Mytilus edulis: one gene and its partners. The protein of the gene in region 1 binds, or shares a complex with, the protein of each later gene. Links are inferred from orthologs where the notes say so. Each region holds a gene or a part of one and is shown in the gene's direction. Other genes may lie near its edges. The genes, in order: WASH complex subunit 5-like, WASH complex subunit 3-like and WASH complex subunit 1-like.

The links.
Region 2: WASH complex subunit 5-like (region 1) and WASH complex subunit 3-like share a complex: the UniProt entries of both Drosophila melanogaster proteins name them as parts of the WASH complex. The link is inferred for Mytilus edulis from reciprocal best matches to the Drosophila melanogaster genes Strump and CCDC53.
Region 3: WASH complex subunit 5-like (region 1) and WASH complex subunit 1-like share a complex: the UniProt entries of both Drosophila melanogaster proteins name them as parts of the WASH complex. The link is inferred for Mytilus edulis from reciprocal best matches to the Drosophila melanogaster genes Strump and wash.

What each region holds. Positions count from the first base shown.
Region 1 is NC_092344.1:109,306,848-109,317,930, reverse strand, and holds the start of WASH complex subunit 5-like, read left to right. Parts: upstream 1-6,746; 5' UTR 6,747-7,073; coding exon 7,074-7,298; intron 7,299-9,366; coding exon 9,367-9,473; intron 9,474-10,185; coding exon 10,186-10,270; intron 10,271-11,083. UniProt on the Drosophila melanogaster protein: Acts at least in part as component of the WASH complex which may regulate wash nucleation-promoting factor (NPF) activity and is required for its membrane targeting during endosomal sorting.
Region 2 is NC_092353.1:26,955,770-26,966,617, forward strand, and holds the start of WASH complex subunit 3-like, read left to right. Parts: upstream 1-6,178; 5' UTR 6,179-6,266; coding exon 6,267-6,317; intron 6,318-8,789; coding exon 8,790-8,954; intron 8,955-10,848. Other genes in the region: transportin-3-like, read right to left, coding at 259-348, 5,836-5,952. UniProt on the Drosophila melanogaster protein: Acts at least in part as component of the WASH complex which may regulate wash nucleation-promoting factor (NPF) activity and is required for its membrane targeting during endosomal sorting.
Region 3 is NC_092344.1:31,571,439-31,581,928, reverse strand, and holds the start of WASH complex subunit 1-like, read left to right. Parts: upstream 1-5,723; 5' UTR 5,724-5,913; intron 5,914-10,490. Other genes in the region: uncharacterized protein, read right to left, coding at 1-536, 1,481-1,656, 2,453-2,519, 4,229-4,265. UniProt on the Drosophila melanogaster protein: Acts as a nucleation-promoting factor by activating the Arp2/3 complex to induce actin polymerization. Participates in both linear- and branched-actin networks.

The sequences.
Region 1 (11,083 bases):
GAGTTCAGTATTTTTGTGATTTTACTTCCTATACCAGTTAGGGGTAAATTTACCATTGAAAAACGAGTAAAGACAATTACCTTCAGCTTATTCTTCTGATGTATCTGTTGAATTCATTATGCTCTTATTAAAATACCATAGTTATTTGGCATATTTCGAAATGTCTATTTTATAGCTTTCTAACTCTGAATTTCTCAATGATTTTACTTCAAATGGCGTTTTCCATGTTACTGTTATATCGTTACCCTGTTTCTGTTATTAAAATATTTACCACTATATTGAATGAGATATTAATAAACACCACTGTTAGACACAACGAGTCAATAAATAATGACACAAACCCGATGATGGTATTAGTGTTGAGTTTTTGTTCCTATGAAATCAAATTGTCTTACACTTTTATCTGATGTGATGTAGCGAGCCTTGTAATTTTTAATGCAACATTTTCACATTTAGTCTGGCGTTAATACCATATTAGAGGTATTCTAATTAAGTTTCAAATTTGGCTATGTTCAATCGGTCGTATATTTGTTCAAATTGGTATTTGCACGATTAAATTAAATCTGAAAAGTCGGATCCCTGATGAAGCAATATTTATTAATGACTGTTCAGGTTGTAAATCCTGTTACGTTGTTTTTACAATTTGTTCTGCATTTGGAATCAAATAAAAACAGAACAATTCAAATAACGTTGTATGCGAGTTTCGCAGACATTACTTCTTTGTGCATAATTTGTTAACCTTTAAGTACAGTGATTACTTTTTATTACAGCATAATGCCATTAACTGTGAAACGGTATAACGCTCTAAGTTGGTTTTCTTGTATAAATAGTCATAGGTCACTGGATTGCTATATATCAAACTATTATTCAATAACACTGTTCTTGCTATGAAAAGTCGACGAAATGCGACTTCACAACGACTTTGTAGAATGTAACGGTTGTGATATTATATTTGGAAGGTTGTTGATTACGTAACGCCCACCAAAGCACACCAAAGTAAATTCGATGACCATATGAGTATAACACATTATTACAATAGAAATCCATCTAGAAATATCATATTAACTGAAAAAAAAAAGAAAATGTAATGGTGATTTTAGGATAAATGGATCCTTTAAGACTTTGATTAAACATATCAATTACACGCCAAAGAGGTTCTCATTGTGGTTTGCAGCTGACATTTTACGATATCAATGTGCATGAAGAAACTGATAATCTATAAGTAGGCCTATAACACGGACGTTCATGTAAGATTCTGAAATCCCAAGAGAAAACGTCTGACGCCACAAAGCAATACTGATTGTCAATAGGTCATGTGTTGCAAGCCTTTCGGAATTGTACGTGGTTCGTCGTCTATATCTTCACCGATTCGATGTTTTTTAGACGTAACGTGCACGGTCTGGCGTACAAAACTTTAATCCTGAAATCTATGACGAGTTTCTTTGATGTCACAGAACAAGGTCCGTTTTACTGGCCAAAAAAAAGTGAAACATATTGATTTTATGTTAATTGTGGATTTCGTGGAAGTTAAATACGGAACAAATAAAGATGGTGTGTAGATTGAGAAGCTTGTCATAATTCTAAATCAGTTACATTGTCCAAAACGTGTCTATGATCGTATTCTGGTGGATATAATCATTGTTTTTTCTTGTCTCTTATTAATGAATTAGGTTTCATTGTCAAAATATATTTTACCATCGGTTTTTATGATATATTAATACTGTTGACATAAACAAGAATGAAAACAATATTTACGCTTTAGAAATGTGTCCTAACTTTGTCGTATGATCATTAAATGACGTTTTAGTGGTTTATTTCCATAGCTTGAGTCCCGCAGGATATCCTGGTTGTAGACATATTTCCATTAGAAATTGCATTTTTGCGACAATATATGCTGTGAAATGCTATAAAAATCCATTTATCTTTCTAAAACCGAACCTAGTACATTAACATATTATTGTTCACAAATTAAATAAACAAACAGCAGACTGTCATTTATCATTTTCACCCATATAAAAGACAAATATACCTTAGAGGTGATAGTTAATATATCAAAGCAGTGTCCAGTTAATAGCATGTCAAGATATAACACTAGCAAAACATGATAGTGGAATATAGCGAACCTATAATTAACGGAACCAGATCAGGCCTTAGGTCATATAACTTAATTCAGTACTTGGGAGTACATAGTTTGTGCCAGGTGCAAAGACACGTAAAACATTCCCTGCTATGCATGCATCATCCACCACACAAAGTCATTTCAAATAGTAATTCTCAATGTCAGGACTATCACCACATCGGCATTAATGTTAGATGTAAGTATTCGTGAATATGTTGGATCATACAAATGTCACATGTTAGTTGGGAATCTGAGAAACTGTTTTAAAATAATCAATCAATTATTTATGGCGACCTTGCTAGTTAGGAAAATTGTAGTTATTCTTCCTAGAATGCTCTGTTAGTGAGATAACAACAAATGAGAATATGTATATTCATAACTCGTCAACCTAGAGTCGACTTATTGTGCTTTTGGGTAGAAAGGGGATGAAAAGGGAGCTCTGGTTCGTTTATCGAAACACTGGGAAGAACCTACCACCCAGAGCACAGTATTGTACTCCGTTAAAACGAGCGTTTGTCTGTTTTGTTAGTTGTCAGCAGATATGTCTGTTATCTTCAAATTTATCTTGTTCCTGAACTGTCTTCTATTGATAGATAAATATATATTTTGATTTTAAAGTACAACTTGGTACTTATACATGAAATTCAATATATTACAATTTTAAACATGAGCAGTCAATTTACATAACATTGAGAATGCATGAAATGAGGAATGTATATTTATACCAACCAGCCTTTAGAGGCTTATAATTCACTGTCATTTATGTACGAAAAATTATATGAATTAATTTGAAATCCAATAATCTTTATTATATCTGAAGCTTAATTCTTATTAGATACAATGTAGTTTCAATATATCAGTATATCTATATTTCGATGTTAGTAACTTACATTTTGAAGGCGCCTCAGCCAAGAGAATTATAACATTCGGTTACAATAATACAAAGATCAAAGTCAAAACTAGAAAATAAGTACGAGCATGACATATAGTAAGACTTAGAATGTGTATAATGCTACTAGTATGTTGCACTTTAATGACACATGAAAGGACATAACATAATATATTCGACATTCATTTACTTGATAATGACGTCCAAGATTGACTAACTTTAAAATCACACCATCTAACTACCGATATTTACCAGTTCTTAGTGTTCTTTTACTACTTTAACCTAAAATACAGCTACAAACTAATTCTGACAAAACAGATGTGCATCTATAACGTATACTTTCTTCTTCGAAAAAAACCCCAGTTTATTAATAACCAAGTTTGTTAATAATTTGTTGATGACATCTTGTTGAACAAACATTGTTGGCTTTACGACATTAGCAAGGAAGAATATTACATTTTCCTGCACAATTACAGACGGAAACCTAATGACAATCATCACCCAAGTTTATTTTGTACATGCTTGACTCTGTGAATTTACTGATAGTCTGTGGAATTGATTTTAAGAACACGAACGTCAACAGGATTATACTCTGAATAATGATTTGTAAAATATGATCCTTTATAGAGGAAATCTTATAAATGCATTTTGATATCGTTAATATTTTGAATAATGCAAGCGTGTTGCACTGTTTTAAAGTCTAATTTATTAGATTTGTAAACCTTGTAAACTAATTTTCCAACTTAAAGTTATAATGTTTCTTTTTCCGAAAGGATGTTTCCGACTTATGTAAAGAATAATTTATTTTTGCATACTTTCTCATTCTCATCTTGATATCTATATCACTAACAGAAAGCTGAATACTAAAATTTATGGTAAAAGAGATGATTTTTCATTTCCTATCGTTAATTATCCATTTTTAGATGGTGACGTTCCCTTGTCACCATCTTACGGTGTTTATATATCTCAACTTGTACGATTCGCTCGTGTATGTAACAATGTTTTAGATTTTAACGAGAGAACTTTATGTATTACTGAAAAATTATTACACCAGGGTTTTTTGATATCACAAACTAGTCAAAACATTTACTAAATTTTATCATCGGTATAAGGACATCATTCGTAAATATAGCTCAACATGCAGACTTCTTATACGTTCAGGTATTTCACATCCAATTTTTTATGGAAATATTCTTTATAAAGCACAAAGGTGTCAGTATTCACCTCAAAAACTAACAAAACCTTTGAATAGACTTATTAAGAAGGTATATAGTTACAATACTGTTGTCAGGTCATTAAAGATTGCATATTTTGGCGTTAATATTGATTCACTTATAGGGTCTTTGCATCGGAACTAAACACATTTATTCAAAAACCAGTTGTTGGCATGACACGGGTTATGTTCTTCTCATATATGTTATGATGGCATGATACTAAACCCCTAACGGGAAGGATTGTGCCTGATGTTCATATGATGAAATCATAATCTTTCAGTCAGTTTAATTGAAGTCTGGAGCTGGCATGTCAGTTAACTGCTAGTAGTCTGTTGTTATTTATGTATTATTGTCATCTTGTTTATTTTCTTTGGTTACATCTTCTGGCATCAGACTCGGACTTCTCTTGGACTGAATTTTAATGTGCGTATTGTTTTACGTTTACTTTTCTACATTGGCTAGAGGTATAGGGGGAGGGTTGAGATCTCACAAACATATTTAACCCCGCCGCATTTTTGCGCCTGTCCCAAGTCAGGAGCCTCTGGCCTTTGTTAGTCTTGTATTATCTTAATTTTAGTTTCTTGTGTACAATTTGGAAATTAGTATGGCGTTCATTATCACGGAACTAGTATATATTTGTTTAGGGGCCAGCTGAAGGACGCCTCCGGGTGCGGGAATTTCTCGCTACATTGAAGACCTGTTGGTGACCTTCTGCTGTTGCTTTTTCTATGGTCGGGTTGTTGTCTCTTTGGCACATTCCCCATTTCCATTCTCAATTTTATTTCTCATTGTTTTCTAATTTCAGGAGAAAATAAACTAAACACAGATTTAGGTAGATTGGAAGTCAGTTTTAGTCAGTTAAAATATCTAATTGTAAATGGCTGAAAATGATTTGTCTAGATTTTAACAGCTTGAAATTAGTATTTGATGCATAATTAGTATTTATTTGTAAGACTTCATTAAATTGAAGATTTTTAAAGGAATATATCTTATATTATAGGGGCATTAACTACGGAGATTTTTTTTTCAATCATTCTTGAAAATTAAACAGTGAAATAATAATTCGCCTTAAGCAGCCAGTTTGGTTATATTAGGTCAAAATAAGCTAAGAAATATCGCTGATTAATTATTTACTTGCAAGTGAATAATTCTACCTAATTGAATCCGTATGCATGTGATCTTACATTTAACTCCTTAGCTAGCGATGGGTTACGCATTAACAAGGCTTGGTCAGCTATTAAAAGGATAAAAGGGTAAAGAATTTGTCGACGGATTCGATACAAAATCTCATTCTTATACAGCGTAAGAAAAGAGTGGTTAAAGATACCAGAGGGACATTCAAACTCATAGATAGAAAACAAACTGACAACGACATGGCTTAAAAAGAAGAAAAAAAGACAAGCAGACAAGTACACAAGACACAATCAAACAAACTAAAGACTAAGCAACACGAACCACCAAAAACTGCACTGGGGCCATTCGGATATCAGGTGCTCCGGAAGGGAAGGCAGATCCTGCTCCATATATGGCACCCATTGTGAACGTACTTCCTCGTTGTTTAACGACGATTAACATATGTTTTTAACCTATAGCATAGGTCCTATAATATGAAATCAAACAGACCCTAGAAAAATCCAATTGCACGTGTTCGCTATCAATGTATTATAGCTATATTTATGTTTATGTCAGGTTTTCGTCAGCAGTCTTCTTGATGGTTAATTATATGTCGTCTAGACTAAAGTACACACGAAATGCTGATACATATTATCGAGTCCATACATTGTAAATCATTTATTAGTTTAGACCCTTTATTATTTGGATATACGTTTTAGTAGGTTATCTATCAAATATGAGAATTTTAATAAAAGAAAAATTAAACAAAATCTTTTCAAACGATGTGAATTTGAAACAAAAATGTGATATCAGGGAAATAACTAAGATAGCATAGTATTATGTAATGTAAGTTTACATTATTTTATGTAGCCAAACCGTACGGTGACCCTATATTTTTTCATTTTTTTTCTCATAGCACATTTTCACAGCTATCTTATCATGTCAAAAATCTTTCAGGTTTTCCTATTGAGTTAGTCGTATGCTTCAATCAGATGATTAACCACAATTGTAATTATAATAACTTCATGTTAATCTAATTTTTGCATTTCAGGATTCTCTTTGAAAGTCGGAATGTGCTTATCTTTACTTGTAAGGTGACATTAAAATTCCTACTAGTATAAATCAGATTTAAATTTTTTACTAGTGGAAAATGTCAGGTTTTTCTTTTCGAGTATTGGTCATTTGATATGATTTATTTTGGTTACAGTTATTTAATATTTTTGCAGATTGTATTTTCTCCATTATTATTCTCTATAATTTAATATTTTCTATTTTCTTCTTGTATTATTTGTTGTCATTTTTACTTTGTGCTTGCTCTTTCTTTAAAAACATGGGTCACAATGTGTACATTGAATATTTGTGTCCTTTGCTGTGCGTTGTTGTATATGATTTCTGGTCGGTTATTGACTTTACTCAATTTACTAATGATAATAGGTGTCGCTGTGGCTGTTTCCGGATGTTGACTATCTGTCTGCTCTTTACACCAAAATGGACAAGGAAAGTGTGCTGTGAAGAGTAGAAACACAAGTTTCTGTTTGAGTAGACAACATTTTATATTGAAAAAATAAGTTACGGTAGCATTCAGATGCACTTACCCTGAGGATAATTGAAGTTGGTTGAGGGTTGTCACATGTTCATGAGTGCCTGGCAGAGTGGGCGTAACTTCTGATGTTTTTTTTCTGATTTGAGTTTAGATTCGACTTGTCTTTAGCACAAACTAACATTACAGAAACAAGCAATGGCTGATTTCCTTGCAGAAAATAACCAGTGTGGTCAAAATATTTTACGCCTTGTGTCAAGGGGAAATGCAATACTTGCTGAATTATTGAGACTTTCAGAAGTAATACCACCAGTTTTTAGACAGGAAAATCAACACGAAAAAGTTAAATATGCTGACATTATTAGTGATTTCAGTTACTTTAGAAATGCAGAATACTTTGACAATAAGATTGAATCCAAAGTGGTAAGATATTGGAAATAATCATTTAGGCCTACCTTGTAAATTGTTTACAAAATAAACAGATATATGCTTTATTGTATGTGACCACTTTTAATAAATTAATTCTATGCAAATCTATGACAACTCACCCCATTGCCAAATCGCTCCAGACCAACTTGCCTTACTTTTTTGGATAATTTTAGGCATTTATTAGGCCACAGCACTTGGGACAATATTACTAAAGCACCTTGAAATGAGGAACTCAAAAGTCATGTGTAAACAAAAAATCTCTGTGTAGTGATATTTGACACTTCTTATGATAAACAAATGACTGAACTTAACCATTTGTGTTAATTAAGAAAGAAGGGGAACACAGAATAAATTTGTAAAATCTATGGAGTCATTAAATGTGTTCAAAGTATTTAATTTTCATAGAAATTATTGTGTTAAAAATGGGATTTTTTACCTTGAGGAGCCGCATCACAAAAGGATACTCAGGGTTTGCTAATTTACGGAAAAAGTAATCTCACTTTGTACCCCGAAAATTTAACCACATATGTCAAAATGTCTCAGCTTCGAAACGAGCCATCACACATATCCAAGTTAACGAAATGGACTGAGCAACAGAAGAAAACGTAACTATTACCGCCTATGGAGAAACTAATACGCATCATGACCCACTTGTCTCAAATTTAAAAAATTTGAGACAAGAAATTGTTTTTCTATACAGTACATTGTATACTTTTATATAATGATCATTTACAATAGAAATTTAGCTAATCTGCAAACAATTCAATCTTCATGTCTAATATATTATGTACTGTGTTACAACTCTAGATTCTACTCAGTACTGACGAGGAAAGGTAACACTAGCCCACTAAAAGCTGAATTATTAGTTTCATCTAGGTGGCTGAGTGGTCTTGAGCTTTGGACACAGTGCAGGTAGTGTTGTCCAGATATCCCTATAGCATGACTTTGAATCCCAGCGAATTTACAGATTTAACATTGTTGTCATGGTTGTGCTAATATTTCATGTATTTAGAGTAATTAGAATAAATATGTGTTTTCAGCTGTGTATCACCTTCAATGATGATCCTATGGATGGATCTGTCATAGAGTTGTCACTTGTTTAGACTTCTTGAAAAGTTATAAAATTTGACCTAGCTGTGCATAAAATAGGGAAGAAAAGATCTGTCTGAAAATGCACTAAATACATTCAAATACATGTACATTGTATATATATATATATTTATAAATTATAAAATATCAAGTGACTGAAAAAAGCCAACTATAAATCTTAAGGGGCAATGGATCATATAATTATGATACAGCACACTACAAAATATAATATATAACAAGTCTAAAAGGGTACAACATCACCAAAAATAACAATAAAATGAGCAATAACAGATATATTATTAGTAAGATCACGATGTAAAAGAATCATACATTGTATCAATCAATTCTGATTATAAAACTAGAACAATCTTGAAATTTATACAATGAAACAGTCAAATCTGAACATAATAGAGACATGCCCGTGTACAACTCTAAAATTTATTAAACATGATGTAGGTTATATAGCTACAATGTATTTACAACAGAGACAGCAAAGATATGCTTCAAATAAAAATAGTTATGTGCAATATGAACTGGTACAACTCTAAAAAGTGAAGACAATTTTAACAGATGTTACAAAAACGATATACTAATATCTATATAAACATGTATACAGCTGACCATTTCTTCATCCAAATGGCATTTCATCATCCAAATGGCATTATGTACTAATTATTTATTGCAAAAATGTATTATACCATATCAGAGTTTGTGCCTTTATTTGAAAGGAATTGCCCTTGATTTCTTGCAAAAGTATTAGCAATAAAGGAAAAGTTTACTGACATAATTAATCTGAACACATTAACTCCAAATGGAGCTTTCGTTAGTATAAGCCATATTAATTAGGTGCAGGGGAAAATATGAAAGCATAAAAATATAGTACATGTATATGCCAATACACAGCGCCTGGTGATGTTTCATAGCTTGACCGGTTTCGGTCCGAAAAGTAAAGTTTGTTTTCTTCTTCTTTCAGGAACTTCAAGATTTGGATGAAGAATTCAGGGAAAATAACATTGAAATTCTGACAAGATTTTATCAAGCTTTTTCTAGTGTACATAAATATATAATAGATTTGACAAAGTAAGTACACCTGGATAACCATATATAAATTGGTACATGTATCCTTGATGGATGAGGTACTATGTATAATAAAAAAATATTAAACAGTTTTGAGGTTTGATATTTATCTTTGTAGTGATAAGTTACAATACAATGGAAAATAATGTTTTCATTTCTAAAAGTACTTGCAATTGGCTGTAAGTTTATATTAAATAATTTTTTATATCATGACTTTTATTTTAAAACTTTCAAAGTTCTATTTGCTTGCTCTAACACATTTACATGATTTCATTTAAGATTGAAGCTACATGTACTATCCAGGAGATAGATATAGTTTTAGGCCTGATCGAGTTCTGTCTTGAAACATAATTACATGGTTCAAATGTTTGTCCTTAAAAAGTTCTTATTCGAAGAAATCTGAACAAGTTTTTCTAATGTTTACAAGATTAGTTTAAATGTGATTTTTGTTTGTACAAAAATAATGAAATAAGCTGTAAAGAGAAACAGTTAGCATGTCTGATTAAATCATAGTAAAAATTAAGTAGTCATTTATACTTGCACTTGTAAGATTGTGTCTGATTGAATGGATTTTCTATTATTTTTACAGTATACCATATCAGAAAGGCCATTCTCCAGTGCTTTAAGTTAGAAAGTTTATAATTCAAATTGATGATACTAAATTTGATAAGATTAAAATGTTATTGATCATGCTTCTATAATTTGATTGTTATAGATTCCTGGAAGATTTAGAAGAAGGAATATACATACAACATTCATTGGAAAGTGTTTTGATTAATGATGATGGTAAACAGTTATTGGTAAGAAACCATTAGAATATAGCATTGTCTGCTGTTGTCTGCTCTATGGTCGGGTTGTTGTCGCTTTGACACATTCCCCATTTCCTTTCTCAATTTTATATATTTTGAAAAGCATTAGCAAAAGGTAGAAAGAGATAAAGACCTATTCATATTCACTACACTACTCCCATTTCAAAATACAAGTAGAATGGATAAGCTTGGGCTTATAACACAAAGAAAGTATTATTATAAATTTCCCAATGCAAGTTCTTTGATAAGGGTGAAATGGAATTTCTTATGTTTTTTGTTTTTTAATTCACATACTAGAGATTCTTTCTTTTTAACAGAATATGTCAAAGTATCTTTAACTTGAGGTTCCTGATTATGACAATCACTTGCACATCTGACTTTGGACATGTACATAAACATGTTAAGTTCCTGACTAGGCAACCGAACATGTCAGTCTCCTGACTTCTGACAGACACATAAACATGCAATGTTGTTGACTTAGAACAGATACTTGAACATTTCAATTTGGGATTCTGAGAAGGGACAAACAAATGAACATGTGAGGCTCTAGACTTATGAGTCACATGTACATGTGAGATTTTTTACTTGGAACAGGTGAAGGAAGCTCCTGACTTGTAACAGGCATATGAACATATGGCTGATCTTGTAACTTGTGAAATAAATATAAATGACTGATTGAGATTACTGTATTTGATACTCAGTCCTGTATACAATTCAATTTTGCACTGGTTGGTATATCGTCAGACTTTTGATTTCTTTAATGTGTTTCCATATATTGACACTAAAACATTCATTTATTACAAA
Region 2 (10,848 bases), on another chromosome or scaffold:
TTAATTTTGCGATTTTCTTATTTACTTTATGAAGTTAAATAAGGAAAGATAAGTCATACAAATTTGCAAAGATTTAAATTCAGGTAAATATTCTATTTGAGAATTGGTTTACAGTATACTTTGTTTTCCAATCTAATGTACTTTAATTTCATACAGGATTGAGCTATGGACTTGTGGATTCAAAAGTTAATCTTAGAAACTAGTTCATAATGAGTATAATTAAATCATATATGTTTGAAGATTCACACGAAATGTTACCTTTGTTCTCATCGTCTGTGCAGCAAAATAACAGGATTCCAGTCCTTGATGTTCTCGTAACAACTGGTCAGACACATGCCATGCATACATCTAAAACACACAAATTGATACTCAAAACTTATTATTTATTTATGTAATTGCTATTTTAAGAACATAAATTTCATCTTTCAAGTTTGGTAAATGACTTGTCAGCATGTGTTCAGTTTTTTTTTTTTTTTTTTCTTCAAAATTGTTGCATTTAAAGAAAGTATTTGATCCTTTTAGTATTTTGCCATAATGCAGGTGTCACCACACCAGGCAAAGTCAGTGACTATGTCAGCCTTGGATTTCCAACTTCAGAGATGATGAAAAGTGGTGGTCCTACAGATTTTACCACCAAAATATTTCAAAGGACTGACACAATTTTAGTATTTTTCAATAGAAATAATAGTGAGGACCAGCAAATTTTCTTCAAGGACCACCAAGGAAATAAAGATTTCGCGAAACTCTGCTGAACTTCCCTCAAGAGAAGCTCCAGGGAAAAATTTATTGATTATGTCACCTTTAGATTACCAACTTCACTCTAGAGAAGCTCCAGGGGGAAGTTTATTATGTCATTCTTGGATTTCCAACTTCACTCTAGAGAAGCTCCAGGGAGAAGTTTATTCATTATGTCACCCTTGGATTCACAACTTCACACTAGAAAAGCTCCAGGAAGAAGTTTAATCATTATGTCACCCTTGGATTTCCAACTTCACACTAGAGAAGCTCCAGGGAGACGTTTAATGATTATGTCACCCTTGGATTCCCAACTTCACACAAGAGAAGCTCCAGGGAGAAGTTTATTCATTGTGTCACCCTTGGATTCCCAACTTCACTCTAGAGAAGCTTCAGGGAGAAGTTTATTGATTATGTCACCCTTGAATTCCCAACTTCACTCTAGAGAAGCTCCAGGGAGAAATTTATTCATTATGTCACCCTTGGATTCCCAACTTCACACTAGAGAAACTCCAGGGAGAAGTTTATTCATTATACCATTCTTGAATATCCAACTTCACTCTAGAGAAGCTCCAGGGAGAAGTTTAATCATTATGTCACCCTTGGATTCCCAACTTCACACTAGAGAAGCTCCAGGGAGACGTTTAATGATTATGTCACCCTTGGATTCCCAACTTCACACAAGAGAAGCTCCAGGGAGAAGTTTATTCATTGTGTCACCCTTGGATTCCCAACTTCACTCTAGAGAAGCTTCAGGGAGAAGTTTATTGATTATGTCACCCTTGAATTCCCAACTTCACTCTAGAGAAGCTCCAGGGAGAAATTTATTCATTATGTCACCCTTGGATTCCCAACTTCACACTAGAGAAACTCCAGGGAGAAGTTTATTCATTATACCATTCTTGAATATCCAACTTCACTCTAGAGAAGCTCCAGGGAGAAGTTTATTGATTATGTCACCCTTGGATTCCCAACTTCACACTAGAGAAACTCCAGGGTGAAGTTTATGGATTATGTCATCCTTGGATTCCCAACTTTACTCTATAGAAGCCCAAGGTAATAGTTTGTTGGATATGTCTACCTTGGATTCCCAACTTCACTCTAGAGAAGCTCCAGGGAGAAGTTCATTGGTTATATCACAAAAGGATTCCCAACTTCACTCAAGAGAATTAAGCTTTAGCCATGCCAGATAGGGAGAAGTTAATTAGTTAAGTCACCCTAGGACACCCCACAGGCCCTCTGATGTCAGTTGGCATATCAGTCCCCCATCCATAATAGGTTTTGGAGTGTCTGCTGATGCAGGTATTTACGTAGACTATACAGTATTGGATTTGATTCTTTAATTGAAAGTACAAAATGTAGTAAGTAGAGGAGCAATCTATAAGTAAACTGCATCACAGATAGAGGTAGCCTGAGATTACTCTGAGGGCTGTTTTGCAAGACAAGCTTGGGCCATGGGATGTAAGAGCTCGTCCCATATCAAAAAGTGGATATTTGCCCGTCCAAAATAGATGCGCTGCTTCGTCGCTTCTGGTGCCAACTAACGGCCTTGGAATTATATACAGAACGCCCAGAGAGTATGTAATCGCGAACTCTAATCACCGATTTCAGAGTGTAGCGGTGTGACACCGCGAATCACGGATTATACTCCCATTTTCCTCCAAAGATTCTCTCCCAACACCGTGTGGCTGTTTATTGGTTTATTGCCCATCAGATGTACTGAAAATTAATGAGTTGACGCGTGACAACATCATCGGATTAGCCAGATTTATTACCTTTGTACATTTAATCGATCTTGATTGCACCTGAGTGATTTAAAATACGTTATTTAAATGTCCTTTCATTGTCAGATAAAAGTGTGACATTTTTATTTAAAATAAGATAATTATTCTTGTATGTATATGCCCATGTCATTGTCATATGACATACAACGTGCAAACGTATAAATATACGATTAAAACACTTATTTTGTATTTTCATTATAGTCCGATCAGGTCATAATTTTGTTTTTTCAACAAAGACGATTTTACCACAATTAGAACCTTTTATGACCTACTCAGTGAGCAACATTCGGTTCATTAATAGTTCAATATTATATAATTAATATCAACTGGCTTAAAACAAAATGATGTTTTTTACGGTAATATGTCCAATCTAAATTAAACCCAAGAGTTAATTTATCGGATCAACAAGTGAACTCTGTTACAATTTATTTTGAAACGTAAAATATTATGTTTCACTACCTCGGTAGATTACCGACTTGAAATATTTGAATTTAAAAAAGAAACTGTAAAGTGACAAATAGTTTTGTATGCAATGTGGCAGCCCTATATTCATAAATACTGAGATACATTCGCCGCCCAGACACAACACAATAATCACAACCTTTAAATATTTAATTATATGGAGAGAAAAAATCATGTTTTTTATCCGTTATGATCTGTTATTGATCTTTAATTATTTAAAATAAAATTGGATTGGCGCAATCCGTATTTTACAGCTCGTTTAAAAGTCCTCGGCGAAATATAAAAAGAAGTATTTCAACAATTATAAAATAGAATATTTAAATGAAATTATATCGTGTTCTACAAGAAAGAAATATGTAAAAAAAAAATGTGGAGCGGATTTTTACGATCGGCAAATTTTCACAGAGGATCTCTACCAACGCCCATCAGGAACTGAACGACATGCATCCTGTTTTCATCTACCATTAATATATAGTGTTGACTATGGACGTATAAATAATGTCCGGTTTTATGTCCTCTGTTGACTGAGAAACGTAAAAATAAAAGGCTGATGTTGGTTAATTCAGAAAAGGAATACAATTTAGAATCCGGTTAATCAATTGTAAAAGTACCTTCTAGAGCCTCAATCTTAACGCACACAAATTTATGTCAATCATTACAAAGCTAGTTTAAACCTTGAATGAATTTTCCCACGGTTATCCAGAAAGGTCACCTGAGTTTACTGTTACATGATACTATTTCCCGCCAAATAAAAATCTTGTGGACAAAATTGATGTCACTATTTTTAGCATTCAATATTGTGAGCAAAGTCAAGTTCAAGTTCAACTACGCACTGTTGATCACTGAGATGCGTGTCTTCCCACGGCAATTAATTGCTTTAAAAATATTTAAAGATCACTGTTCTAAATACAACACAAAAGTTTACATTCATTGTGCGTAAATGAATATTATGCAACGACGAGTTGATGCAGCTATAGAAGTATTCCTGTTGTAGCCGAAATGTTTTATTTATCCTAAAGTAATGCTAACAAATCGTGAAGAGAAAATGCCGTAGACTTCTTAAGCATAAGGAATGGTGAAAAGTATTTTCTTTTTTTCTTGCATATACAAGTTTTAAGACACGTAATTTTCTTTCTTTCTCACATTTTATACCTTCAGCGTTAATTTCCGTTTATTTTCACGCAAGTACACAATGAAGTATGTCTCTTTTCATAAGTTATATAAATTACCGATAAAAAAAAAACCGAGGTCATAATCAAGTATAGATTTTTTTTTATAAAACTTTAATGAAATTGAAAGCATTTAATAACAACAACCTTTTGCTTTTTAAAACTTTTATTTTGTAATCGTAAAATGGAAATGGCGTAGACTTATTAGCATAACAGATAGTGAATAATATTTTCTTTTTTTATACTTGTATAAAAAACTTTGAGACGTGTCACTTTTCTTTAAACTACCCTAATTTATTCAGCGTTAGTCTCCGTTTATTGTTACACAATTATATCTCTTTTAGTAAATTAAATATTTATTTACTGATAAAAAAACGAAAGTCAAAATCAATTTGATTTAGATGTACAGAGTAATTAAAAGAATTAACAACAACGTTTTGATTTTTATTTTAATCTTTTATTTGTTTCAAGCAATCAGATATAAACTGATAATCAATAGACAGGAAATACAATTGTTTAATTACATTAGAAATCTCGCATACCTTGACTGTCGCGTGCCGGCATAGATCAGAAGGATTAGGGCAATTTATTACCTGGTGTGACACTGCGTCACTCCAGACTGGGAGAGATGTCGCTAATACAATAAACAAAAGGTAACGGATTTATGCGGAAGTCGGAGGGAATACTCCCAAATTTCTCCGAGAATTTAGGGAGTGATGTCGGAGTTTCCTGGTGTCACACCAGGAAAAAACTCGGTGTATGGAGTTTGGGATGGCTTTCGCGAAAATTGAACTGTACATTGTAAATCGGATATCAATTTGTTCATTTTTCATTTATGTAAGCTTCACATACCTCTCACCTTTTATTTTCTCATAATTAGACAGTTTTTACAGTGACCAGGTGAACCATCGATTCAGACATTTTTACTTTTATTTTCAAAAGGACATCAAGTTACGAGAAACTTCACGACCTATAGACTCAAATATGCAAATATTTATACGTTTTCGTGGTCACATGATAATCTCTGAAAATGAATGTCAAAATGCAGAAATCGATGGGTCACTGTGAGAACTGTTTAAATATGGAAAAACTAAGTGTGGCAGGTAGGTGAAGCTTACATAAATGAAGAGATAAATGAAAAATGAACAAATTGATACCCGATTTATATAATACTAAGGCCGTTAGTTGGCACCAGAAGCGACGACGCAGCGCATCTATTTTGGACAGGCAAATATCCACTTTTTAATATGGGACGAGCTCTGACGTCCCAAGGCCCTATCTTGTCTGGTAAAACAGTCTTTGGACGTCAGGGTAATCTCGGACTAAGATAGAGGGTAAAGAAGAGCTGACCAAGCACGTCTGCTCAGTTGTATGACTGAGACATCACCATTGAAATGACGTCAATAGGTATCTCTTTCTTTCTCTGAATAAAAGCTAGAATTTGTATCATCAACTTATACATAGAGATAGTAAGATACAGAATGAGGTATGATTATCTTTTATAATGTATATTTTTTGTTTACGTGAAAAGCAAAGCGGTTGAACGATTTGAAATATAGCTATAACTTAATTGGCAGATATCATTAGACAGGCATCTTATAATGTATCGTACTAGTGGGCTTTAATACAAGTTTAACAGAAGTCTACTGCTGGAAGGGGGGCAGCAGTCGGGTCAGTTTGCTTACCGAACGTTGCAGTTCTCCGAGCCAAACTGATGCTCTTTCCTTTCCATTTACGTCTGGATTTTGATAAAGGGCTTGGAGAGCTTGATAAACCGTCTCTAAAGACGGTTCACTATTCATTGCTGTATATTTCAGGAATTGTCACTTGAAATTTCAGCAAGAGCACTGACCGGAAGTAAGTTATTCACCAAGTCATTCCCGCACTTTTGAAAAAAATAAAATAGAATTACAACACACATATAATATTTGTGGTCAAAAACAGATATTATAAAGTTAAGTGAAATATAAAATTAGTTTAAATATTTATTTTATTATTTAATTGTCATTTCTTATTCACCCCGTAATCGAAAATTTACTTCCGGTTTCACTTTGCCAAAAAAAAAAATACAACCCATACCACCTGACTGCCAAACAAATTGATATTCCACTCCATAATGGATTCAGATGGATTGCCTCTTGTAGGACCTGGTGTTGATTATACAAAGGTGTCTTAAAGAAATCATTTGTCATACATACTCACAAATTTACTGTCATTTAGTGCCAATGACAGTTGAGCTAAATAAAATCAGTGTTCAGTTAATAAATAAAAAAATCTTTCATTTAATCAGATATCAGGCTATTAGGTTGAAGAAGTTGCTTCCCCGTAAGTAACTTTATTTTTCCCTTTAGTGGGGGATCCTCCCTGGTCAACCAGTTAAGACAAACTCTATATATCATTATATCCAGTAGTCCGAGATTACTCAGACGTCCAACGGCTGTTTTGCCAGACAAGCTGGGGTCGTCGGATGTCAAAACTCGTCCCATATCAAAAAGTGGATATTTGCCTGTCCAAAATAGATGCGCTGCTTCGTCGCTTCTGGTGCTAACTAACAGCCTTGGAATTATATAAATAGGGTATCAATTTGTTCATTTTTCATTTATCTCTTCATTTATGTAAGCTTCACCTACCTGCCACACTTTGTTTTTCCATATTTAAACAGTTTTCACAGCTTGTCTGGCAAAACAGCCGTTTGCCATCAGAGTAATCTCAAGACTATATTTCCAGAGATCTAATTATATATATAACTAACAATATTTGCATATTATAACAATAAAAGTGTATGTAATGTTCATCAAATGTCAGTGTATACGTGTTGGTTAACAGTAAAGAAAGAATGTAAAAGTAGAAGTGAGTGTTTACTGATTATGAGTAGCCAGAAAAGGTCATATGTAAAAAAAACACTCATCCCTTAAACCCTTACAATACTCTCTATAAATCAAAAAAATATTTCACACATAAGGGGAAACAAACATTCATTTTTCAATGGTCTCAAGAGGTGTACATATCCAAATCATATTCATGATATTTGGAACTTCATTGAGATGTGAAGAAAATAAAAGTGCCTATAGTTCATGTTTCATTTAAAACATTATTTTTTTCAAAATCCCTTGTCAAACATTGTTCCTTTTGTAAAACATGTTAAAAACATATGAGGGGAAACCAATCTTTCAAGGCTCAGCTCCGTCATTAGATCTAAATGACATGTTTTTAATTGCACCTGTATATAAATTAAATTGCACCTATTCTTTATTCAAAAATTATTTATGCGCTCACTCCAGCGGTAGTACATTTCAATGTCATTTGGACATCTTGTTACAGAAGCGTAGCTAGAAGAAAACGATGTGCAAGCAACTACGGCTAAAAAAAATTTGGACCCTTTAATGCAGAAATTTTTTTTTCGGTTTTCGGTCATAGGACGGTTTAGAGAGGAGCTACATGTAGATAGGACTTATAAACAATTTATGAACGTAAACCTATTAATACTTGAATCTTCTGAATAGAGTAAATCATGGTTAATTTAATACATAAACAACACATTTTTGAATTACAGAATTTACTCAAGATTGACCAAAATCTGCTCTTCGGGTCTAAGCAGAAACGAACTTCTCTATTACTTTGTCAACATTCACCCTGAAATCCCGATCAATATGCAGTAATGCTAGCGATGATAACCTGTCGTTGTTCATTGTTGATCTTACATTTGTTTTCAATAGACTTAATACACTGATAGATCTGCATGGTAGCACTTGCGAGATGTTATAAACCAACATACGTGTTCTCAATCGAGCGACCTCCAGATTGAAATTGTCCGCCAAATACATGCCAGGTCATTTTGTATGTCTCAGACAATGTTGAGAATTATTCATTGGTTATATTTCCTACAACACGAGGAAGCAGATACGACACAAAGAAGCTTTTTTCTGATAATACCAGACACCCTCTACTCTCCAATTCCATTATCATATGGTCTACGTGTGTGAACGCAAAATATAATGAGACTTTCCAATGCTGTTTTGGCGTGTTTTCAGGGTGATTGGCTCTGGTAGTCTGTCGAATACATCGCCTCGGCATATTTTCAATAATATCAAAGGGTTTCGATAAATCTAATGGTCGATTGGTACATCGCATCGCAAACAGATACCTTACTTTGTAAAATGTACTCCAAAACTACACGTCTTAGACTGAGTATAATAAATTCAAATCTGGTAAAAGATACAAGTTACTGTCCGATTTTTACATGATCTCCAATAAAACGTTTGTTTTGAAATGCCGTTATTTAATGACAGTTCATCATTTAAAAAAGTGACAACGTATGTGTTTCCTTTTAGCTTTAACCATAATTAATTTATAAATTTTTATTTTGGCATTTTTTTTTTTGCTTGCTGAATCAATGTGCACGCAATTGCGTGTTAGCGTATAGGGAGCTATGCGCCTGATGTATATATATTTCTTAAATCATATACAGAAATATAGACGACTTTTTTTATATTGAATTTTTCATAACATCTTTACATTTGTATAAACAGCATGTGGAGATTCTTATTTTAAAACATATAGAAGACTTTGTACTGATATATTTGTTGTATATTAAGAGAAGAATACTTTTTAAAAAAGAATACTTTTTGTTTTCTTTCAGGTGGAAGCTATTCAGCAGAAGAGAATTGTTGCATTTATAAACCATTTTGTTACACATACAGCTAAATTTCTCAACAGATTTTCTTCTGTGTGTGAAGAAAAGTTAGAACATATGTCAAATAGAATTCAGGAATTGGAAGTATCAATGAATTTATTAGAGGCCAAGGTTTGTCTTTTACTCCTTAGTGGTCTGGTGTGCAAGAGGTATTTGGGTGTGTCAAAGAAAGATTTTGAATTTGTTTTTACTGCTCTTTAATTAGGATGCATCATTAAGGAGTAAGAGCAGTGGGTGGTCTCCTTGGAGCCAGAACAATGTGTCCAGCTTAGGTGATGTGTCTTCCTGCAGATTTTTACCTGGTTATTTATCTCATTGATAATCCGACTCAGTGTGTCCATCTAGTTCAAAACAGGATTATATTCATATTACTTTAAAATAACCTTTAAAATGACGCCTTTACATTGTAATTTTCTGCTGACCATTTAACACCCCTCATGATCCATCCTCATTATTGTTATGTATTGTAAGAATATATTTGCTTAACAAAATTAAGGTTTTAAAATAACTCTAGCATACAAAGGAGTAGGATCAGTTATTCAGTAAGACCCATTTTTTGCCCCAAAATATATCAGTTTAACAAAATTGTTATAATGTAAACTTTTAGCTATTTATTGGAAAGCAGAATACTTCTGCTACATAAATATGGGCTGTTTTTGACAATACAATGCATGTGTATCTGGTACAAGCATCATTAAGTCAAAATCTTCACAATTTTTGCATTTGAGTTCAACTTTAGACAGTTGTCGTCTTAAATGGAAGTGGCTGCATTTGTGTATTCTTAAGTGTCATTCTCTGTAAAAACAAACAAATTCATGGGACTGTTCACACCAATGTCACAGATTTAGAATTTCTTTTCAATATTAAGCCCATAAATAAAGGCAACAGTAGTATACCCCTGTTCAAAATTCATAAATCGATAGAGAAAAAAACAAATTTGGGTTACAAACTAAAACTATGATGCCCTGATAAAAAAAATAACTTTTATTTTAATTTTTGGGGTTTCTGTTGCCATGGTTACAGGTCCAATATATATATGTTGGCAGCAATAAGTGAAATAAGGAATTAAGCTTAAATCCTAGGCAACAAACTAATGCCTTGGCAGTAAGTCTGTTGCCTAAATGATGTCAGGCATTGGTCTTAAATCCTGGAAATGTGTGCAGGCATTTAGCTCTATGCCTAAAATATAAATGCAAGTAAATAAAAGACATTTATTCATTTAAATAAAACCAATGTGTTACATAATAATATTATGAGAACTGGGGCCTGTTTATCGAAAGTGTCCTAAGAGCGGTCCTTTAAGATATTCTTAGGACATAAATTATGATAAAGTTAGGACCGACTTACAACATGTTTTAGCATGCACATCGCAACTATCTTAGGATTATCTTAGCTATGCTGTCCTAACTGCTGTCCTAAGTATTGGCGTCAAAGAAAATAGAAAATTTGAGTAAATATCATTTTGTTATCATAAGTTTTAGAACTGTTAACTAAGAAAATTTACTTATTCAATAAAAAAATTGGAAAATGGTGTGATCACAAAATCATATCTTAATTTTGTCTATCTTTGACCTGTTCAAACCAGCTCCACTAGTGAAGTGTACAAATTTTCAAATGAATATTATAATTATTCTGTAGAATCTCCCCCCTTTTTTAGTTGCATACAATTACTTTTTTAAATCCTTTTAATATTTTGTAAACCACAAAACATGAAAAAGTATGAGTGAATTCTGTTTTTTAACTGTTGAAATTACTAAATAAACTTACTTTTGAAGATCTGTCAAATAAACGTATATTTATAAATATCATTTAGAAACGCCTTTTTATCAAGAATAAATCACCAAATATTCATAAATTCAAGAGTTTACTTATCATGCTTATTGCCTAAAATTATGTTTGACAATAGGATGAATAATCATCATCAGATTTCAGGAAATAAGCTTAAAGCCTGAATTTCAGGCAATAACTTAATGCCTAGGCGTTATTGTAGCTTATTGCCTAGGAT
Region 3 (10,490 bases), about 78 Mb from region 1:
ACTCTGTTGTGATAGAGTTGACTGATGGTCAGGTTTCTGTGATTGTAGTAAAAAATATGCCGAACTTTGTTGTGGTGGAGGTGTCCGATGACCGGGTTCGTATGTTGGTGTTGGAGAAAATGTCGCACTCTCTTGTGGTAGAGATGTCTGATGACTGGGTTCCTGTAGTAGTGTTGGAGAATATGACGAACTGTGGTGTGGTATAGGTGTCTGATGACTGGGTTCCTGTAATAGTGTTGGAGAATATGACGTACTGTGGTGTGGTACAGGTGTCTGATGACTGGGTTCCTGTAATAGTGTTGGAGAAGAGGACGTACTGTGGTGTGGTATCGGTGTCCGATGACTGGCTTCCTGTGATGGTATTGAAGAATATGATGTACTATGTTCCAGTAGAGGTGGAAGGTGGCCGGGTTCATATATTGGCGGAGGAGAATATGCCACAATCTGTTGTGGTTGTGGTAGCGGATGCTTACTCTTGGAGCTTTTTTTGTGACGTGAGCGTTTTTTATTGCTTTTCTTCTGTTTTGAAGGTAATTCTGAAGTTATAAACGAATAAACAAGATCATTATCTATTATGTTTATATTTCATCATCTCAAAATAAATACTGACTCACATAAATCATGATTTTTCTATATTTTACTAGATGGGTCCCCTTACATTACTTTACATAAGGTATATTTGAAGGACAATTTGATTATCTGATCAATAAATATCAGATATTATTTTTAAAATTGATGAATGCATGTGTTGACTTTTTTTCTTTTCGATCCTATTTTTATTGATGAACTAACGTTGTGTAATATGTTTGACTTGTTGTAATAAGTTTGGTTCAATCAGTATCATGTTCATGTGTTTCCTAATAGCATTTGTTTGTGTTATTTAGCCATTGACAAGATAAACTAAATGTCCATCACAACATGCCAGAAGGGCCTTAATACAAATGCAAACTTAAACCTTTAAAGACGTATCACGAAAGGAAAATGAAACGTTTATCACCAAAGGCAAAGTGGATTAAATGTAATGGTTATGATATATCAATAATTACACTACGGTTGTCACATGTGGACCAGGACCTGGTCACCCTGAGATCATCCTAAGTTTTCGGGGTAGTTCGTATTGCTTCTTTTAAGTTGTCTATGTTGTGGTGTATGTTCTGTTGCTTGTCTGTTTGTCTGTTTGTCATTTTTCTTATTTAGCCATGCCGAAGTCAATTTGAAGTACATGACTAACTATTGTAGACACCAATGTTCAAATGAAGTTGTTGTAAGCAATTAAAGGCAACCGTTTGGTCTTCAACAATGAGAAATTATAACATTGCGTTTATTTTCTGCCAATGAGTTTGAATCTTTCGCCTCTCTTTGACATTTACCTAACATGCAGTTTGTTTGATAAAAAAAATATGGTTGTAACGTTATTATGTTGAGACTATGTAAAACCATGAAAATGATGATTCTTATTATATCATTTGTTTTTACTTACGCTGCTGTTGTAGCGTGTGTTGATGTTGATGTTGATTTAGTTTTGATAAAGTGTCTGGTTGTATCACGTGACCACGAATACCACTGGTTTTAACACAACAACATATTGTGGTGATAATAGCCCCTATAACGGCTACTCCAAACAAAGCACCAATAATTGCACCAATGATAGTTCCTCTAAACATAATGAAATAAAAAGTAAATGAAATCATGTTTGTTGTATTAGTAAAGGCTATAGATCTGATTTAAATATTAAATTTATCTGCACAATGTATTGGGTAAGACTAAATTGGAAACGGACATTACAACCTCGGAAATAAAGGGCTTATCCTGATTGGGCACTTTTGCTATTGAAATATGTTATTCTGAAGTTCGACTTAAGATCGTGGATTTCAATTTTCGATTTCAAAATTCAGATATATTAAATAGAGAATATCGAATGAGCAGTCTATAGACATTTTTTTTATGTCTGATGTGTGTGTCGAAGCGATAACTTTTCTTAAAAGAATCCGTGTAAGTTGTGGGATAAAGCATTATTTATAGAAAAAAAGAAATGTCAGTTCAAAAGAATAAGTCCTTGGTTTCATTGAGGGCGACTCTTAGGTTCATGTTTCGGTTTTCTGAGCAACACATATGTTCTTGTTTTTTTCATATACATTTGCATTTAAATCGTGTGTGAAAATATTGTGTCTTTGAATATAATTATAATTCAAGAGATAACCTCTATGTTTTCATAAAAAAAAATGAAAAATAGGTTTCATAAATGTTTTCTAATAGGTTCACGCTGCATTGGTGACCTTCGGCTGTTGTCTACTCTTTGGTCGGGTTGTTGTCCCTTTGACACATTCCCCATTTCCATTCTCAATTTTATTAACATGAAAAGTAAAATATATAAAAAATATTCTTTTCATTTGTATTCCTTATGCATATGTATTATCTGTGATAATTCTTGTGTATGTTAATGAATACTTACACATCAGTATTACATTCATGGTATTCGTATTGGTAGTGGTAGTAACAACCACCAAACACCGGAAGTACTGAAACATATACAGAGATTACTTTCAATTTTACTTTCATTTTTTTTGTTTTGACATGTATAGATTGGCAGACAAAACAGTATCAGATAAACCTTATCATATTTCCCTAAAAGATCTAAGGAGGATGGAGGGCCGCATGGTTTTCGCCATTAAAACAAACCTTGATATATTTGAAAAGGTGATTAAATTAAGCAAAAATTATTAAGAATCTAGTAAGGTTTCGACACCTTAAGCAAAGTTAACTTTAGATTTATTTTTGCTAATATTTTATATCCTTTTTTGGTCAGATGTCTCTTCGACTGTTTCGGTATTATACATCCTTTTGGCTTTCAAATATTTTGCATTGAGTGTTCCTGTCGAATGTAAATCTATAGAAGCGCTTCGAACTCATATTTTATTGAGTATTGCCAGTTTCATTTTTTGCAAAAAAAAATGATTCTTACAATCAAAACAGTAACCGCAGAGATGACTATATCCGTCCCATATTGTTTTTAGAGTCATATGTAATTAATCATGCCGAAAATGACATCCTACTCATTCTCAAGCATTTAAGGACAAAGTATTGAATAAGCAGATGTTTAGAGTTGAGAGGGTCTGCATCGACTTCGTTCAATAATTATGCCAAGTTCTAAACATCCCTAAACCTACAGAAGCTACGAATTATTGAATAACACTTTATAAATATATTCGTCCGATTACTTGATTTAAGAGGCCCCTCATGAGGGGTCCTAGTAATCACATAATCACCTTTTTTTTTGCCAATATAATCACATAATCATTAAATATTTGCTTATCTTTAGTAGTCAAATAATCATAAACTAAAAATACAGTCCTAGGTAATCAAATAATCATGAAATATTTGGCTTAATAATCAAATAATCATTAAAAAAACGGCCAAGTAATCACATAATCAAAAACCCCATGAGGGCCCTCATTTAAGACCTATAGAGAATTGCCAAGTCTACCTGAAATCAAATTTTCCTGAGTCAATTTGAAGCTAAGTTTCTTACTTATTTCCCAATTAATCAATGAGTAATTCATTAAAGGTATTTCGTAATGTATGTCAGTACCGAAGCACTCGGTTAAAAATCTTTCCTATACAATGATATTAAATATATACTGATTAAGTATGCCATATTATTGTGCTTTTAAAATGTTTACTTTAAACACACTGTAGATTTGTTTTAAAAGATATGAAGTTGCATTATAAAAATGTTTCAGATGAATGAATATTAAAAGATTTGTTTAACCTTTTATCAAAATATTTACTTTAAAGGTACGCAATTACTGCGCTATGGTTACATGCACAACAACGAGAATAATTATAGATACATGTTTAAAGATATATAATGTATTCATGATATAATTATGGTAATTTCTCATATATCTTTTTAACAGATCGTTGCAATAAACATATAAAGCATTTCAAAATATTAAAAAAAAATAAAGTAACGCTTAAGGGTCAATAACTATTATAATAAATTATTCCTAACTCATCATACATGTTAGACTTGACTTGTAGAACACTCTAGAATTTCAAAAAGTTCTCCGAATTTATTTTGTCGGCATTTTAAGAAACATTATTAAGATATGGTGTTCCGTTGGTTTCTTTTGAATTTCGAAAATATGAATGAATCAAACTGTTGAGATAAAAACGTTTGGACATGCATGTCTGTTCTAAACTTGAAATTGGAAAATTTAACTCTTACCCTGAATAAACAAAATCCATATTGAATCAAAAACCATTACTTTTGATTATAACTAATAATACATTCCAAATTATTCATGTTAAACGGCCAGGAAGTTTAAAACATCAACTATCAATTTAAAGGCCAGGTTAACTTTTCTTCAATCAATTAAAAAATAGATCCATGACGTGAACTGTCAAGTTACGGAATTGTTTATGTTTTTCATGCTTTTTATCCAGTGTCTTCACGAACAAATTTAGATTCCTATTTACAGTTACATATGTCTACAGACTACATGCAAGATGAATTTGAAACAGAATAGACATTAATTGGTTTGTCCAGAACAGAATCGATTGATCTGATGTTATTGAGATATTGACTTGTTGATAATTTTAAGTCCATTCAAAAGACTTACTAAGTAGAAGCCGGGAGTAGAAGCCATTTAAAAACGTTGAATGTATAAACAAGCGCTCTTTCTTCTTCTTCTTTTTTTTTTTTTAGGTTGCAGCACATTTATATTTTACGTGGCATTCTTATTTCCTTTTGTTGAAGAACTATTAATATATATTGTTCGTCATTTCTCTCGATTCTTGAATAAAAATCATGCAATTGACCATAAATAGTTACCTATTCAATTTACTGTTGTTTTTTTTTTTAATTAATCTGTGCCAAAACATTTTAATGCGTACAAACGGAACATCTGTGTACCTACAAGCAATATAGTGTCAACATACGTATATTTCGAGACGACTCGAATATTAGAATATAAGAAAGTTTGCGTGAAAATATGAACGTTCCTAATCAAATCAAATTTATTATAAGAATCGCATTATAACAGGAGAGTATCCAACATTCACTGAAATACTTGCACTGCGATTATTAGAATAGTATAATAGGATGATATCATGGATGAACATTATATATACATCATAACCAAGGATTTGTATAGCCTAGTAATTAAGACCTATACAAATCCTTGATGTAACTGGTATATACATGTACAAATATAAATAAACTAGTACTACATTACTGTAAATAAGAACAAACCAGTATACTGATCTGTATCACTACAATATAATAGAATAATGGTGAGGTTGAATTCTCTGCCATTTATTCATCATCAACGCACGACTGTCTTGTCTCAGAAAAAAATACATCTTTGTACATTAACCTCATTTTCAGCAGAGACACATAATACAATTGTATTGTATGTCTCTGCTTTCATCTATAGAGATGTGATTTTTTTCTGATGGACAAGTGCTTGTGACCATTCACAAGAACTTGTGGTCATCCGATGTTCAGTATTTTCAGTACTACAATTTGTAACATCGTTAAATTAATTTTCAAATCATGAGACATTTTACCAGGTGGAGTCTAATAAACGATAATATAACAATAATCCTATTGCATGGATTTTAAACTAATAAAATTCTTCTCAATAAATGTTATACTTGGACAAGCTTTTGGAAAAGCTAGTGTTTGAAATATTGATACATCTTATTATGTGTTCTACGTCACGAATATAGAGGCGGAACTGACGAAGTTCTCATCGATAACTTTTTCTCGTGATCAAGTAGACAAGCCGAAAACATTTTGAAGCTTTAGCCCAAATTATGTGATTTGACAATATGATACTGTTAATGCATTTTCACATTCTAATTATGTAATTCATGTTGAAAATATTCAAACCATAGTATCTGGAAAAGGTAAATAAAAAACCATTATTCATAAGCACACTTTACACGCCCCTTTTCACTGAGCACCATGATTTTTTAAAATTGTGTTTTGAACTGCGTTGTTTGAGATTATCTATAAAGAATATTAAAAACAAAAAACAGGACCTACTAGAAATCATTGATACTGTCAAACCAGATATCATACTAGGTACCGAAACATGGTTAGAACCAAACACCTCTTCTTATGAGTACTTTCCATCAGATTTATATAATGTGTATCGCAATGACAGGGCACCAAGTACCAACAACCAAAGCTATGGGGGTGTACTTATAGCAATCACAAAAGAATTCATAAGTTCAGAGGTAAAAGAACTAGAAACTGAATGTGAAGTAGTCTGGGCAGAAATCAATATTGCTGGCTCAAAAAACATCTTAATATCATCCTATTACAGACCACCATCTGATACAGGTTTGTCACTAGAGCAACTCCATCAATCTCTAAATCGTATCAATAGTCAATCAAATGCAACTATTATTGTGGGGGGTGATTTTAACTTGGGACATATTGATTGGTCAACATCAAGCACAATACCAGGCAAACCTGACATACAACTTCACCAAAATCTCTTAGATATAATGAATGACACAAACCTACATCAAGTTGTCAATACACCAACAAGAAATGATCGCATACTAGATCTAATAATGATTAATAACCCAACATACATCAACAAAGTAACCACACTACCACCAATAGGTTCAAGCGACCATGATATTGTCTATGTCGAAGCAGACATCTGGCTTAAGAGAATAAGAGAAACCCCACAAAAAGTATACAAGTATAACAAAGCCAACTGGGACGAAATTAAACTTGACATAAGTACCATCTACAAATCAATCATTGACAACTATGATTCTCTTAACACCAATGAGCTATGGGAACTATTTAAAACCAAACTCATCAGCTCTGTCGAAAAACACATTCCATCAAAAATCCTACGAAACAAACATCGATTACCGTGGATATCTGATAAATTAAGACGACAAATTAACAAGAAAAACAAACTTTACAAAAAGCGAAAAAACAGCGAATACACGGAGAAATATAAAAAGATGAAAGCTCAGGTACAAAAAGATCAAAGGAAAGCCTACTGGGAATATATTGAAAAACTTATATGTGATCTTCCAATTAATGAACCAGACATTCAAATACAAAATCAGAGCAAACCTAAGAAACTCTTTCAATACATCAAGTCAATAAGAACTGACAAATCTGGTATCTCTGCACTAAAGAAAGACGGCAACATCATTACAGACGCCACAGAGAAAGCAAATCTCTTAAACGAACAATTTCAATCTGTATTTACCCCAGTTACAGATGACCCAATACCAAACAAAGGCATCAGTTCACATCCTAATATCAGCGAATTACATATAACACCAAATGGGATCGAAAAACTCTTAAATAAGATCAACCCACATAAAGCCACCGGCCCAGATAACATCAGTGGCCGCTTACTGAAAGAAATGAAGACAGAAATTGCACCAATACTATGCTTAATTTTTAACAAATCATACAACACTGGTATTACACCTAACGACTGGAAACACGCTAGAGTCGCACCAGCATATAAAAAAGGGGATAAGCATAAACCGGTCAATTATAGACCTATTTCATTAACTTGTATTTGCTGCAAGTTAATGGAACACATAGTAACATCACACATTATGAAACATCTCGAATCAAATAACATCTTGTACGACCTTCAACATGGCTTTCGGCACTCTCGTTCTTGTGAGACACAACTTCTCTCCTTCATTCAAGAACTTCAATCCACAAACAATTCAAATACACAAACAGACCTTGTAATAATGGACTTTGCGAAAGCCTTTGATAAAGTTCCGCATCGTCACTTACTATACAAATTACACTATTTTGGCATTAATGGAAACACTTTAAATTGGATCTCTGCATTTCTCTCTGATCGAACCCAGACAGTTGTTCTGGATGGAAGATCATCAAGCACAGTCCCAGTCACCTCTGGGGTTCCTCAAGGTACTGTCTTAGGTCCTGTCTTATTCTTGGCGTATATCAACGACCTTCCAGACTACCTTACACATAGCAAACTAAGACTATTTGCTGATGACAGTATCTTATACATGCCAGTTAAATCCCAGAGTGACTGCCTAAAACTGCAAGCTGACCTTGACGCAGCTACAAAATGGGAAGAGGACTGGCTGATGGCCTTCCACCCAGACAAGTGTAATGTTCTCTCTGTAACAACTAAACGTCAACCTTTAAAACATAATTACACTCTCCACAATCATATACTAGAATCTGTTACATCTGCTAAGTACTTAGGCATCACATTACAATCAAACCTTAAATGGGACAAACACATAGATGACAATATATCAAAGGCCAACAAAACTCTCGGCTTCCTTCGAAGAAATCTAAAAACATCAAACCAAAACATCAAGAGCCAGGCATACCAAGCACTTGTCCGTCCCAAACTCGAATACTCTTGCTCAGTTTGGGACCCCCACACTTCAGAATCTATTTCAAAGATAGAGATGGTCCAAAGGCGAGCTGCTAGGTATGCCTGCAACAGGTATCATAATACTAGTAGTGTATCAAACATGCTGAACACACTAAACTGGCCTATTTTGACACAACGCAGACTGCGTGCACGACTGGTTATGATGTACAAGATCACACATCAACTTGTTGCTATACCATCTAGCACAATTCTCATTCCATCAGACTCAAGAACCAGAAAACATCATTCTCACACCTTCAGACATATTTATACATCAAAAGACTCGTACAGATTTTCATTCTTCCCATACACAATAACTCAATGGAATCTTTTACCAACCACAGTAGTAAATACACAGACAGTCGACTCTTTCAGAGATCAGCTAACATATGCTGTTCTCTCCACTATTATTTAAAAAACTTCATCTCATGTACATAGTTTTAATCACTACATCTGTTCTTTGCACTGTTTGTAAATATAACTTAATTTTAATAAATAGGCCACGTATGCACCAGTTATTAATCATCTTTATTCAGATGGAAAACTGGAAAACTTAAAGAAGAAGAATAGTTCAACTGTTGTGTTTACTATTGTCTATGCAAATATAGTATTCTAGGTTGAAGAAATAGTGTACTATAAATACTTGACATAACATTCATTGATTCTTAGGTTTCATGAAATTATAATACATGTTATGAGGGGGGGATAGGAGGGGTCTTGATCCCGAAATCCCGGACTTGAAAAAACGAAATCCCGAGGTCCTGAATTTAATTAAAGCAAATCCCGACATCCCAAAATCCGAAAAAAAGGATTCCCGGATCCCGAAAGGGTCAATCTCGAAATCCCGAGCTTAAAAACACCCGATCCTGGAGTCCCGATAAAGGTCCTATCCCCCCTCTGTTATATCGTCTCGTATTGTGTTTTCGACCGTCTGACTTTTTCGACCTAATTCTACTTTCACTTGCCGCATGACGTCATATTCCGCTGCTATACTTAGTAACAATAGCAAATGATACCACGTGGTGTGAAGATTTTTCAAATAAAGTTATTATATTAAGTATTTACGTTTTTTTTATTTGATATCACATTTTTGTACCCTTTTCACTAATCATTTGCTAATACTAGTTTTACCTTCCAAAAGAATCGGTCTAAAATAAACGAATTTTCTAAACTCATGGCAGAGGTCTTTTTGCATGCAAAGTTAACTTCAAGGTCATTAAGTCACATGACTGTCAGGTGGTTAGTTTTAATGAGGGGCGTAAAGGGAGGTATCTGCATGGAAGAACGCGAAATAAAACTGCCATTTCACGATGAACGAACAATTAAAAATGCCTTGCACGGTGATCTTTTTATCGATTTCACGAAACACGGTGAATAAAGAACCTTTTTCACGGCTTCACGTGAAATAAAAATGGCCAAACACGTTGCACGAAATAACACTTTACCACCCTCTGTAATACTTAAAAGTTAATTTGAATACGGAAATACGCATGCTCCTTACAGCTTTTTACTGAAAAAATAAAATATCAGTTAAATTTTATTTACAGAAAAAACAGTGTCTGGAATTTACAGACAATACTCACCAACCTCACTTTCACAATGGATTAAGCAAAGTATTTAACAAAAACATGAATGTATACAAGACCATATATACAAGGCTTCCAAAGTGCCTCATTCTGAAAGGTGTACAACTTGTCCAAAAAAGACATCAAATAATATTTTATCTCTTATAGTTGTATATTTAACCATTTAAGGTAGCACAGTACAAAGATTTGTTCACTCCTAATCAGACAACTTTAAACTGATGTAATTCATTTCATCCTTCTTTATATTTTATAAATGAGGTACCAAAAGAAAGAAGAAAGATTAATCTTTCAAATTGTGATAATTTCATTATGACATAATTATTACATAATTAATTATTATGTAATTAGTCGCTATATTGTGATGTCCACACTTAAATGAATTTAGCGTCTTTGTTCTTCATAGCATCCCAAAATATTTTATAGATTCTTGTACAACACAGCTTGACCTCCAAAACTGTGTCTCAGATTTCCAAAAACATCA